2 linked regions of the Xenopus tropicalis genome follow. The protein of the gene in region 2 interacts with the protein of the main gene of each other region in a biochemical or structural test. Links are inferred from orthologs where the notes say so. Each region holds a gene or a part of one and is shown on either strand. Other genes may lie near its edges.

Region 1 (6,449 bases), on a different chromosome or scaffold from region 2:
GGGGGAGATTCCTGCCTGACCATGGGAAAGAGAGCAGCCCAGGAACAGCTTAAATACAGAGCTCTGTGCCCTGGTCCGTACTAAGGGAAGACTGGATTCACTTACAAAAGGAGAAGTTTTTGTCTGACCATGGGAAAGAGAGCAGCCCAGAAGCAGGAAGTACAGAGAATCAAAACTGGGTATCTGCGTAAGTACTGGGGGGAGATTCCTAAAGGGGCAAATGGGCCCAAGTTTCAGCCCACTGACTATATAATTTAGAGGTATATGGCTGCTGTGTTGCTGTTATTACAGACAGTGGGGTTCCTGTGCTATAAATCTGGGGTGTATAATGGTTGTTACTATGGCGTTCAGGGGACTAAAGAACATAACAAACTGTTGGATACAAGGGAAACTACACCCCTAGTAGCCGTTTGCTCTCATGTAGTCTGTATGGGTTTATGGTTTATTGCGAGCACAACATAAGGGATCAGCAGAGGCAGAGCTCCTTAACAAAATGATGCCCTCTAGGTGGCGCTGTTCTGCATTCTGCTCAGAATACTTCTGCAAACAATATGGCAGCTCCCATTTCTATACATAAGCAGGCAGATGAGCCGACTGAATAAAGGGGTAAAAAATTTAGTTTGTAAATAATTTCGTAATTGTAAAATCTCAGCATTATTTTCCACCACAATGGACTTTGGGGGGGGGGGGGACGGCTGTTAAATCCAGCTTAATTCCTGTTAGTCATGTGACCTGTAGCCTCGGTTTCCTTTCTGGCTGAAGGCATCAGCAGTCTTGCTTTGTGGCAGGGGTTCAAGATAGACCTGTGTGTATATGCAGGATCCCTGCCGTAAAGTAAGACTGTGCTGCTGCCTTTATCAGCCTACATCTGCAAGGCTCATTTACAGCACTGCTGACCAGAGTGCCTGGGCAAGAGAGCTTGACTGATATTATGTATATTATATAATATCCAAACTTGCCATTGGAAACTGCCATATTGTTTGTTGGGCGACGGCATTATCTGGACCTCTGAGGATGCTGGGAGTTTTTCCTGCACACACCAGCTACTAGTCGTGGGCGTGGCCTATATATATATATACATTATATACCAGACACAGACGCTGACATTGATGATATTGCATTATCTGGAGCAAATAAAATCCTCGTTTAAAAAAAAAAAAAAAGGTAAAAAATAATCCTGATGGCATTTACTGCTGGAAAAACAATTCTTCCCCTTTACAAAAAATACGACTGGAAATATCGTCTTCCCGCGAGTCAGGAAACATTGTCCCATATTTTGCAACATTTTCTGCTTTTCAATAAAGTTTTTTTTTTTATAAAAAAAAAAAAAAGAAGTTTCCTCCAGTATAAAAAAAAAAAAAAAAAAGCGCCTCTCTAGTGGGATATGGACGAAGGGGGTGGGATTTAATACTACAACTGTTGCTACGTAGGGGTTCCCTGGGCAACTCTGGCGCTATATTAGTGCGTCCGAGTGTCCCTGTAGGATATAGCTGAGTGCCGCAGGGCCCCTTCTATATAATGCTTGGGAATAAAATGCCAAATCGATAGGAGCAATAAAATGGATTCAAGGGCCACAGTGCTGGAAAGGGGTAGTACTTGCAGAGCTGGGAAGCCCAGAGGCAGAGAGCGCACCAGGATTCCTAGTGGAGTTCACAAGTGCAGGGGGCCCCCCAGCTGTGCCAGGCTCAGCGGCTGTAATGTTGCTCTTCTGCTTTTGCCTGCCCCGTGCCCGGTCTCCCCCAATCAGTCCAAGGATATGATGTCCGGCCGGCAGCCCGGTAGCGCCGAGGAGGCGCTCTGCGACGTGTTGTGACTGTGGCTCTCCCTCAGCGAACTGGTGGACACGATGCTACTGATCCGACTGGCGCCGCTGGGCGTGGCGTGGCTCCCCGTTATGGTCTGGGTGAGTGGGCTCATGTAATGGCCCGGGGGTGCCCGGTACTGGAAGAAGTGGCTCAGGGCGTCCTGTTCGTCCAGGGAAGTGATGACGGAAGGGCTGTAATGCTGAATAGGAAGAGAGAGAAACAAAAAAAAAAAACAATCAATCAATTGACAGTTATGGGAATACCCACTTCTGGGCTGTTCTCTTACCCATGGTCAGGGAGGGCGGAGCTTTAAAGATTTCCAAGGCACATAAAGCAGCCTGAAGGAAATGCTGCTCCATCCAATGGCTTTACACTTACAGATGAATGCAATGGTAGGGGGGGGGGGGGGGGAGGAACAAGCAACCATTTGGAAACTAGCCCCTCCCTCCCACATAACCAGGGGAAGAGAACAGCTCAGGAAGTGGAAGAAGAGATAATCAGAGATGTGAGTTTAGTATGATGTAGACATTGCCATTTTGAGGCAGTTGCTTTGGTTTATGGTTTTTCAGTTATTTAGCTTTTTGTTCAGCAAATCTCCAGCTATCCAGTTGCTAGGGTCTTATTTACCTTAGCAACCAGGTAGCAGTATGAACGAGAGATGCGAATAGGAATAAGAGAGGGCCTGCATAGAAAGATGTGTAATAAAAAGTAACTATGGGTTCGGCCAACCCCCAAACCCACACCGACGGATTCGGCCGAATACGGAACGGAATCTTGGATTCGGTGCATCCCTAATAACAATAAAACTGGAGCCTCTCAGAGAAATAGTTTGTGGCTGCCGGGGTCAGTGACCCCCATCGGAAAGTTGGAAAGAGTTACAAGAAAAAAAAAAACTATACGAAATAAAAAACGAAGACCAATTGAAAAATTGCTAAGGATTGGTCATTCTATAATATACTTGTTAATTTAAAGGTGAACTGCCCCTTTAAATGTAAACAGTGGGGATCCCTGGCGGGCACAGGGGCATCTGGCGACTAACGGGTTATAATAAGTAAAATAGAAATGGCACTTACCGTACTGTCGGCCTGGAGGAAGGAGAACAGATCCAGCCCTGGGGTAGGAAAGCATTGGCATTTATTAGTTTATTTATTACCCCCACTCCAGCCTTTACCCCAATACCCCCCTACTACCCCAGTGTGCCCCCTCTATACTCCGCTCGGTTACCTTGGATATCGGGTGGGACAGGGTAGGACCGGTGATAATCCGGGAGGGGCAGGCTGGACAGGTAGTCGCTGCCTATGGTGGCCATGGGTGGGCTCCGTAATACGGACGATGGCTGGTGGTCAACGCTGATGACCCTGAAAGCAAATGTAAGTAACTAGCACCCTTCCTGTATGTCAGGCCTGTACTCGGCACCCAACTCCCCTCCGGACCTACCCCTTGGGTCCCGTGGCCGATGGGATAGCCGCGGACGTAACGGGGCACTGCTTCTTGCTCGGTGGCTCCTCTTCGTCCGAGGAGCTGTCCAGAGTCAGGTCGATCACCTCCACCTTCTTCTTGGCCTCTGCGCTGTGCTTGAGTTCGGGGGTCATGCTATAGATGCCACTGGCTGCAACGCAAAGGGGGCGGAGACATTTAGTGAATACGGGGGTTCTAGCATTTGAATGGGATGCTCTACCCACCCGGTACCAGCCACCCAGCTCACCCTCGATGCCTCCGTATGGGCTCGGCTGGCAAATGTCCTGCTTCTCTTTCTTTGGTCTCATCGGGCACCAGGATCCGTCTTCCATGAACTGGATTTCGTCGCAGTCTGTGCAGGAGTTGAGGATATCCATGAAGAGGCTACGGGGGGGCGGAGGGACAGCGTGAGTGGCGGGGTTGGGCACAGATATACATGGCCGCTGCATACAGCCCTGAGGCTGCGGGGGGCGGAGGGACAGCATGAGTGGCAGGGCACAGATATACATGGCCGCCGCATACAGCCCTGAGGCTGCGGGGGGCGGAGGGACAGCGTGAGTGGCGGGGTTGGGCACAGATATACATGGCCGCCGCATACAGCCCTGAGGCTGCGGGGGGCGGAGGGACAGCGTGAGTGGCGGGGTTGGGCACAGATATACATGGCCGCTGCATACAGCCCTGAGGCTACGGGGGGCGGAGGGACAGTGTGAGTGGCGGGGTTGGGCACAGATATACATGGCCGCTGCATACAGCCCTGAGGCTGCGGGGGGCGGAGGGACAGCGTGAGTGGCAGGGCACAGATATACATGGCCGCCGCATACAGCCCTGAGGCTGCGGGGGGCGGAGGGACAGCGTGAGTGGCGGGGTTGGGCACAGATATACATGGCCGCCGCATACAGCCCTGAGGCTGCGGGGGGCGGAGGGACAGCGTGAGTGGCGGGGTTGGGCACAGATATACATGGCCGCCGCATACAGCCCTGAGGCTGCGGGGGGCGGAGGGACAGCGTGAGTGGCGGGGCACAGATATACATGGCCGCTGCATACAGCCCTGAGGCTGCGGGGGGCGGAGGGACAGCGTGAGTGGCAGGGCACAGATATACATGGCCGCCGCATACAGCCCTGAGGCTACGGGGTGCAGCTGTCTCACCCATCAATGATCAACATGTCGTACGGCGCCTTCTTGTCGCACACGGGGCACGTCCACGTCGGCTTCTTCTCGTTCATCTGCAGGTAGAGCGCCGCGTCGAAGCACTGCAAGTGGGTGCAGGTGATGGCTCTGCAGGGCACCGTCAGGCGCATCTTTCCCAGCTGCGAGAGAAATCAGCAGCCACAAAGGGTTAATCCAGTCTGAGTGCAAGCGGGTCGGTAAAGCATTACCCATTAAATGGTTACTTTGCCTTTAATATGAAGGGAAAATAAAGCTGCCAAATGGATGCTAATCCCTCTGTTTTACAGTACAAATCCCAGAATCCTCAGCCAGACAGTGCTGGGGGCGGAGTCAGTGAATGTAAGCTTAAACAGGGAGCCCATTAGCACTCACCGGGCACATGAGGGAAACGCGCAGGCTCGTGGTGGCGATCTCACTGTCGGGATCTGCCGTCAGCTTTTCCTTTACTGTTATATGAAAACAAACGCGGTTAAGCACAGCGCCCCCTGGGGAGGTAACCTGTAACTGCAACTCAGGGGGGAGGGAGGAATGTAGCACCTCATAACAGAACCAGAAATATACGGGGAGGGATCTGGGATCTGATACCTCAGGATAGTACCATAAACACATGGAAAGGGGGGGGGATCTGGTACCTCAGGATAGTACCATAAACACATGAGGAGGGTTAGGATCTGGTTCCTCAGGATAGTACCATAAACACATGGGGAGAGGAGGAGTACCTCAGGATAGTACCATAAACACATGGGGAGAGGAGGAGTACCTCAGGATAGTACCATAAACACATGGGGAGAGGAGGAGTACCTCAGGATAGTACCATAAACACATGGGGAGAGGAGGAGTACCTCAGGATAGTACCATAAACACATGGGGAGAGGAGGAGTACCTCAGGATAGTACCATAAACACATGGGGAGAGGAGGAGAACCTCAGGATAGTACCATAAACACATGGGGAGAGGAGGAGAACCTCAGGATAGTACCATAAACACATGGGGAGGGTTAGGATCTGGTTCCTCAGGATAGTACCATAAACACATGGGGAGAGGAGGAGAACCTCAGGATAGTACCATAAACACATGGAAAGGGGGGGGGATCTGGTACCTCAGGATAGTACCATAAACACATGAGGAGGGTTAGGATCTGGTTCCTCAGGATAGTACCATAAACACATGGGGAGAGGAGGAGTACCTCAGGATAGTACCATAACACATGGGGAGAGGAGGAGTACCTCAGGATAGTACCATAAACACATGGGGAGAGGAGGAGTACCTCAGGATAGTACCATAAACACATGGGGAGAGGAGGAGTACCTCAGGATAGTACCATAAACACATGGGGAGAGGAGGAGTACCTCAGGATAGTACCATAAACACATGGGGAGAGGAGGAGTACCTCAGGATAGTACCATAAACACATGGGGAGAGGAGGAGAACCTCAGGATAGTACCATAAACACATGGGGAGAGGAGGAGAACCTCAGGATAGTACCATAAACACATGGGGAGGGTTAGGATCTGGTTCCTCAGGATAGTACCATAAACACATGGGGAGAGGAGGAGAACCTCAGGATAGTACCATAAACACATGGGGAGAGGAGGAGAACCTCAGGATAGTACCATAAACACATGGGGAGAGGAGGAGAACCTCAGGATAGTACCATAAACACATGGGGAGAGGAGGAGTACCTCAGGATAGTACCATAAACACATGGGGAGAGGAGGAGAACCTCAGGATAGTACCATAAACACATGGGGAGAGGAGGAGAACCTCAGGATAGTACCATAAACACATGGGGAGGGTTAGGATCTGGTTCCTCAGGATAGTACCATAAACACATGGGGAGAGGAGGAGAACCTCAGGATAGTACCATAAACACATGGGGAGAGGAGGAGAACCTCAGGATAGTACCATAAACACATGGGGAGAGGAGGAGTACCTCAGGATAGTACCATAAACACATGGGGAGAGGAGGAGAACCTCAGGATAGTACCATAAACACATGGGGAGAGGAGGAGAACCTC
Region 2 (6,923 bases):
ATACAGTACTTCTCTGCAAGCATCTTATAGGGATTCTGACAGAAATCTTCCGTTGTACCATTCCAAGCACCTGATGTAATGTAGCTGACACTCCATAGTGACTAAGGAGCAATGCAAGACAATTAGCAGTCTGTTTTTCTCAACTGGGAATGCAGCAATCAGACTACATAAAGCATTTTTATGAAAGCCAGATGTCACCCAAAATTACAGAAATTTGATAGAAAAGAAGCCCCAATAACCTGGGGGTGGCACTGGAGAGAATTCAGATTACAGTCAGTACACCTTTTAATTGTTTTCTTCCTTTACATCAGGGCAACCCATAATATTCCATGTTGTGGGCCAATTATCCTCTCTTTCACATGTTTTGGAGCTGGGCTATTATAAACAATGGTGTCATAAAGAAAGGTATTTGGTAATAAAAATCTCTGTGCTTATTAAAAATTGCACTAAGCCTGAAACTAAATGAAATCCCTAGTTATACACCCTTAAAGCAAGGCTTAAAACTCTGCACAGTTTACTTTGTTTCCTTAACTGTATCTTGTTTATCCAGCAATCCGATATCTGCCACAGGGGAAGGAATGGGAAGTAATGGGAAGTAATCTGGTGTAAAACAGTACTTTAGGTACTGTACCAATAAAAATTACTTCTGTATCAATGCCCGAAGGTTGTAGTGGATTGTGTAACATACTATTTAGCATAAAATCTTCATACAACAGAACCACATGAAAAGGTATATACAGTATTGATGCATTTTGTCCACAAAGAACCAAAAACATTTAAAATGAAAATCACCCTCATCATGTAAGCAACGTGCTATAAAGGATCTGCTGGTTCTCCCTCCTACCCAAACTGTGCTTACTGCTAACATTACAGAGAACAGCCACACATCAGAATGGTCTTGACAGAGAGATGCTGCTTCTCTAGGGAAGGTCTTTGTGGCCTTTCACAAACTCGGCCTAGCTGCCAATTGATTTACATCCTACAATGAAAACTGATGAGACACCAGGGTACCTATACATCTGCATGTGCAATTTTAACTGCAATCGCCTAGTTTTTTCCACAATGCAATATTTTTCCCAGAATTCCAGCATCTTTGCAGTTGCAAGAGTCAATGTGCTTGGTGCAATTGTGTTGTGCCTTAGTTCACAAGACAGGAAGGACTGAGCTGTGCCAAGCACACCTACATTAAAGTTTAAAGGAGAAGGAAAGGCTAATAAAGAGTTAATCCCAAACTGCAGGCATACCTTCAGTTGACTCAATAGTGCCCTTAAGTCTCCCCATACTTCACCTGTTCAGAAGATCAGAAGCCAAACAGGAAAAAAAAACGCTGAGCAGGGTAGAGAAGATTCCCATAATGCAACGCTCCTGCCCAGACTTGGCAACTTGGGACTGTAGGCAGCGCATGCGCACACAGCAGGAGCGTCTGGTTGCCATGGCGACGCAGCCGACAGGAGAACTCTGCTCTGTGACATTCAGACCTGGCAGGTGGGGGGAGCGGCAGAGGGTTTGTGGCAGGAGCGGGGAGCCGGGGGAGTTGATATGCAGTGATGCATCTGCATTTGTGACATGCAGAGCCGGCAGGTGGGAGGAGCGGCGGGGGGTTTGTGGCAGGAGTGGGAAGCGGCGGAGGGTTTGTGACAGGAGCAGGGGGGGGGGGGTTGTGGCAGGAGCGGGGGGGGGTTGTGGCAGGAGCAGGGGGGGGTTGTGGCAGGAGCAGGGGGGGGTTGTGGCAGGAGCAGGGGGGGGTTGTGGCAGGAGCGGGGGGGGTTGTGGCAGGAGCGGGGGGGGGTTGTGGCAGAAGCGGGGGGGGGGTTGTGGCAGAAGCGGGGGGGGGTTGTGGCAGAAGCGGGGAGCGGTGGAGGGTTTGTGGCAGGTGAGGGGATCGGAGGGGGGCTGGCTTGTGCTTTTCAGCAATAGCCCATACAGACATGCTGGACAAGATGGCGGCGCCGTTCACTGAAACAAGTATGTAAGTTCTAGTATGTGTATCTCTGTAAATATTTCATTGGGCAAGCCAGAAATATAGCGTTTTTACACAGCAATAGTAGTACTATTTAATAGTGTGCTTAATAGATTTCGACTTTCCTTGTCCTTTAAGAAGCGCATTTTCACTTACGTACCTCAAATGAAAGTGGTTTTACACACAACTAACTGCGCGGAAGTTAGAGACTGAAATTACACTTGCAGAGATAATTTAGGAGCCCTACTAACTCTTCTGCACATCTTGGAAAAGCACCCAGCAGTGAATGGAATTGCTCAATGGTGCTAGCAAAGTATTTAAATTTTTTTTCAGTAAAGCTGTACAAAAAGCAACTTTTCAGACACTATTTTAGAGGTGTATGATGAAATGGGAATACTTGTTCACACATACCCACAGACTGAGATACAAAATAACAGAGTGATATACATTTGACACAAATGCATGTACGCAATGTTGCCCTAAATGTAAGGCAATAAATACCAATAATGGGAAAAACAGCTTTCAACAGAAACATCTGCGTGCATCACTGGTATTTAATCCGTCGCACCATTGAAAGTGCACTTAATTGGGCCAGACAGAAATTTGGGGCTCCCAGTGGTCCCCATGCCCACATGAATGCGGCATCAGCAAAGTTTGAAGTGACAGGACTAGCTGGTACTGCCCAACATCACAGGGATCTAATCATTTTGGCCTGTAGTCCACTTGAATGTTTAAACCGTCACCCTTTAGGTGGCTGCATTAAAGATAAGATTGGGATCCTAAACTATGAAAGTCATGCAAGAAAACAAGATGTGCTTGAACATTACATACAATATAAACAAGCAGAGTGTACTACAAGAGATCAATCGTTAACTCCCACATACCTACACACAGCTTAACATGATACCTCCCCTGGGTAATGGGAATTACCACTACAATTAAATTAACATGTGTATACGTGTGCAGCGGTGTTTGTTTGGAAGGGTTAAACGCGATTGTTATATTTTCAACCAAACATAATAATGTATCTACAAACACTTAGTGGATGCTCATAAATAGACTTAATTTATGTACCTGATAGTTCTGAAATGCTTTGAGCTCTTCCAGGCTAACAGATTTACCCTACTGTAACAAATCAATGCTGTGTGAGACCCCATAAGGCTAAAGCTGCTGAAACTTGTTAGGTTAATATATACTTTATATAGGTCAAATAACTATATGGGCCAATATATCTCTGGCTTTCCTGTTAGGCCTCTCACTTCGCCAACCACCACTGGGCAATTACTCACAGATAATAACATCTACAGGAGAAGATACACATACTGGACAATAAGACATAAAGCAAATTACACGACACACAACGGGGTGTGGGTCCTATAGAGCAGTTTATCCAGCAAAAGTGCACAGCAGCAGAAACCCATAGCAACCAGCTCTAATAGTCTAAGTGTCGTATAAAATGAAAGTAAATGACTTAGCTGCCGCCCTTGGTTATGGGCCGCATGTACTACTTTAGCTGCATATTAATGTGTAGCCATGAGACCTACTTGTTTACATCTACAAGCAGGTCTCCAGACACACAAAACAAGACACACACGTCCCAGAGACTTTCTCTCGTTCTCCCGCCCACTCCACAAAAGTGTCTCACCTGATCAGACATGCTAACTGCTCTCGGCCGGTATCGGTTCGCTACACTGGACCGCTCTACGCTTTTCCTTCCTCCGGGCACAATAACAGCACAAGAGAACCAGACAAGGAAGGTGTTCCGGTTCTTGGGAATGACCTCATTTCCGATACATGCGGCACCGCCCACATTTTGCTGACGCGCACTGCTGCGGCTTGCGGCAAATGGTAGGGGTATGCGCTTGCACAGACGCTGAGCACTAGGTGGCGCTTTTGTGTCCATATTGTAATGCGAACGTCAGCCTTTAACCATTGATATCCAGTGTTTTTTCTGTATAGAGCATTAACCTCTCCAAAGCCGAGCATTAATAGTAGGCGTCTAATGGCTTTGGCACTGCCAGCCTCACATCATTAAAAGGCCCCGTTACATAGTAGATTGGCTTTACCTGGCTTTACGTGGCTTTTGACGTTTTAGTAGGTGATTCTTAACCTTTTTGGTTGCGTCGCATGATTGAAATTGACCACAAATGTTTATATAAACTGGTTAAATGAATGAGCCAAATTACAGACAATTGCTTATATGAAAAAAAAATTGGTTATCTTATCTTGTCAATCTGATCCCTTGAGAGCCCCTGATGCCTCTATATTAGAGGACACATTGGGAAGAGACTAAATAACAGATACCGAGGCATAGGGTGGGTGGAGAATAGACATAATTATCAAAATTGTGTGAATAAACCTTACCCGCGCTTCTAATAAATTTATGTGTAGTTCGTGAAAGACTAATATTATTCTAAAAAACAAATTAAATTACCCAACAACAATCCTCTTACCCAAATAGTGAATAGAATATCATAAATAGCCTCCTTCCTCCAAACTAATCCTCACAGTGAATATATAAATATTATAACAAGGAGTTAGCGCTAAAAAAATATACCACCAAGTGTAAAAATTCTATAATATTTTAATTAATCATTAAATCAATACAAAAAGATACAAGTCATAAGTTAAAAGATACAATAGGATATAGTGATAATCAAAAACAGTTCGTTAAAACTAAATTGTTGGCCCTATTAGTTCATTAAAAAAGTGAACTAGGATAAATGAGGATGGTACAATAAATACGTTTAGCTTTTTAAATGACTATTTATGCACGTATTTATTGTACCATCCTCATTTATCCTAGTTCACTTTTTTAATGAACTAATAGGGCCAACATTTTAGTTTTAACGAACTGTTTTTGATTATCACTATATCCTATTGTATCTTTTAACTTATGACTTGTATCTTTTTGTATTGATTTAATGATTGATTAAAATATTATAGAATTTTTACACTTGGTGGTATATTTTTTTAGCGCTAACTCCTTGTTATAATAATTATAAAAATTGAAAGTCCAATCCAGAAGTGAAATCCTGGTCATCTTACCCCATATATCAAGTTGCCTAATATAATGTTGACTCTTTATCAGCCTTTAGCTAAAATACCATCAAAGAGATCCAATATCTCCACGCCAAGTCATACCTTGTCTTCAGTAGGCAATAGTTCTTAAAAGCATTTTTAAAGCCTAGATCACTGACAAGATAAGGTGGCAGCTTATCTGCCTGTGTAAGGGGACCCCTGATGGGCCCATCCAACTGATATCTGGCCTCAAATTGTCCGGATGTTGATCAGGCAGGTTTGATCAGAGACTGCATTGGCTCATTGATGCAGTCCTCACTTTGATGGGTCTTCTTCCATAGTTGTAATTCAATTGTTTGGCCCAAGGCAAAAAAAAACCCATCTGAAGCCTCTCTAATTTGCCTCAGAGGTGAAAAATTCCTTTCTAACTCCAAATTGACAATCGGACCCGAATACAGAATACAACTCTATTAACGAGCCTGTATGGGCTTAAGTACCTACGCATGGCGTTCATCTCTACATACATTTGCTTCCAGTTTAGTGTGCCACCCTACAAGTGTACAAGGGTATTTGTGTACTAGTGGCCCTTTATTGTTGGTCAGCAAGATTCCTAAGGAACTCCTTTAACCCCTATTAACAGCCAATCTATAAATTCTATGCCTTATTAACAGTTTTTTAATTATATAGAATACTCTCAGTGCTATTACTCTTAGAGAATATTTGATTTTCCTCTCTTTGGCACAAAGATATATACACTCATATGTCTAAAGATTATTGGGTCGGTCACAGGCTTGTATTTGGTACCATGCACTGAATTTAGGGAAACCAAAGAATATTCATGGGAATTTACTGTACTATAAATGCACCCAGCTTAAATCAGTGCAAGGGATACCCAGCACCAGTAAAAACATGGTTGTGGCCTGGTACCAACTCCCAGTAGCAGTGTCCCTTTTCCATACTCATGGGTATTAAGGAGCATGAATGCTATGATTCTTAGGATTTGTTGTTCAACCTCAGCTAAAGCACGGTAGGCAGCCCAGCTTCATTTTATTTCTACCTAATGTGTGGGGAAGCACCATCCCTTAGGGGGTGATAGAACTGATATCAAAGTGTCTCTTAAAGGTCTGGTCCAAACACAGCTGAGAAGCTGATACGGCTGTACCTTGTATTTAAAGTCAAAATTTAAAAAGCATACTGCCCAATAGTCCTCCTATTGTTTAGTAAAAATGTCACACTTTTGGCTCACCTAATCAAATATTTACTCAGTCACACTTACTTCACATTTTCTATCTGTTTTCTAGAACACGCAGCCATCTTTAAAAAGGTATTCTCCCTTCCTTTCCCTCCTGGCTTCATACTGCACATGTGTTTCAATCCCTCCTCCCCTTCCCCTCTGCCAGATCCGCTTCTGATTGGCTGGTGGGCATTTGTACCTCAGAACAGGAGACAGGATCAAGTTACACACATGCTCAGAGAATAGGAGGGTTGCCGCTGGCAGCCTACAGGAAGGGGAGAGAGATTTCAGTGATGTCACTGTAGTCTTCACACTGCTGTAGGCTGCCAGCACCATATCTCAGAGAAGCAAGCAGGGATCTGGGAATTTAGATATGCAGTAAGTACTTAAAAAGAATGCCTTTAGACTTACTTTTAATTTATATTAACCTTTCATTGTCCTTTAAATTAAATCAGCTCTGCCTCCTCCCCTCCCATCCTGCCTCTCCTTAAAGGGCAAGTAATATCTGTAATAGTCATAGACTGTAATGATTAATATTAGGACACAGGGCTGCTGTATTTCTAAACAAGTCCAACAGCACTATCATTGCTAAGTGTATATTCACCATTTAGCATAATGATCCTTCCTCTAATTCAGGATACTAATGGAGATGAAACTGACTAGTCAGTCTCTCCTAGGCCCAAAGGATACTATTCTTATAGGATGGTC

Evidence for each region.
Region 1: the proteins of sumo1 (region 2) and pias3 form a complex in vitro, tested with the Homo sapiens proteins (2 studies listed by BioGRID and IntAct, with this or other methods). The link is inferred for Xenopus tropicalis from reciprocal best matches to the Homo sapiens genes SUMO1 and PIAS3.

Annotation. Positions count from the first base shown.
Region 1 is NC_030684.2:141,796,767-141,803,215, forward strand, and holds the end of pias3 (E3 SUMO-protein ligase PIAS3), read right to left. Parts: intron 4,878-6,449; coding exon 4,804-4,877; intron 4,572-4,803; coding exon 4,411-4,571; coding exon of another isoform or gene 4,407-4,410; intron 3,648-4,406; coding exon 3,511-3,647; intron 3,415-3,510; coding exon 3,243-3,414; intron 3,164-3,242; coding exon 3,030-3,163; intron 2,917-3,029; coding exon 2,879-2,916; intron 2,005-2,878; coding exon 1,744-2,004; 3' UTR 298-1,743; downstream 1-297. UniProt on the Homo sapiens protein: Functions as an E3-type small ubiquitin-like modifier (SUMO) ligase, stabilizing the interaction between UBE2I and the substrate, and as a SUMO-tethering factor.
Region 2 is NC_030685.2:52,312,375-52,319,297, forward strand, and holds the start of sumo1 (small ubiquitin-related modifier 1 precursor), read right to left. Parts: upstream 3,722-6,923; 5' UTR 3,618-3,721; coding exon 3,606-3,617; intron 1-3,605. UniProt on the Homo sapiens protein: Ubiquitin-like protein that can be covalently attached to proteins as a monomer or a lysine-linked polymer.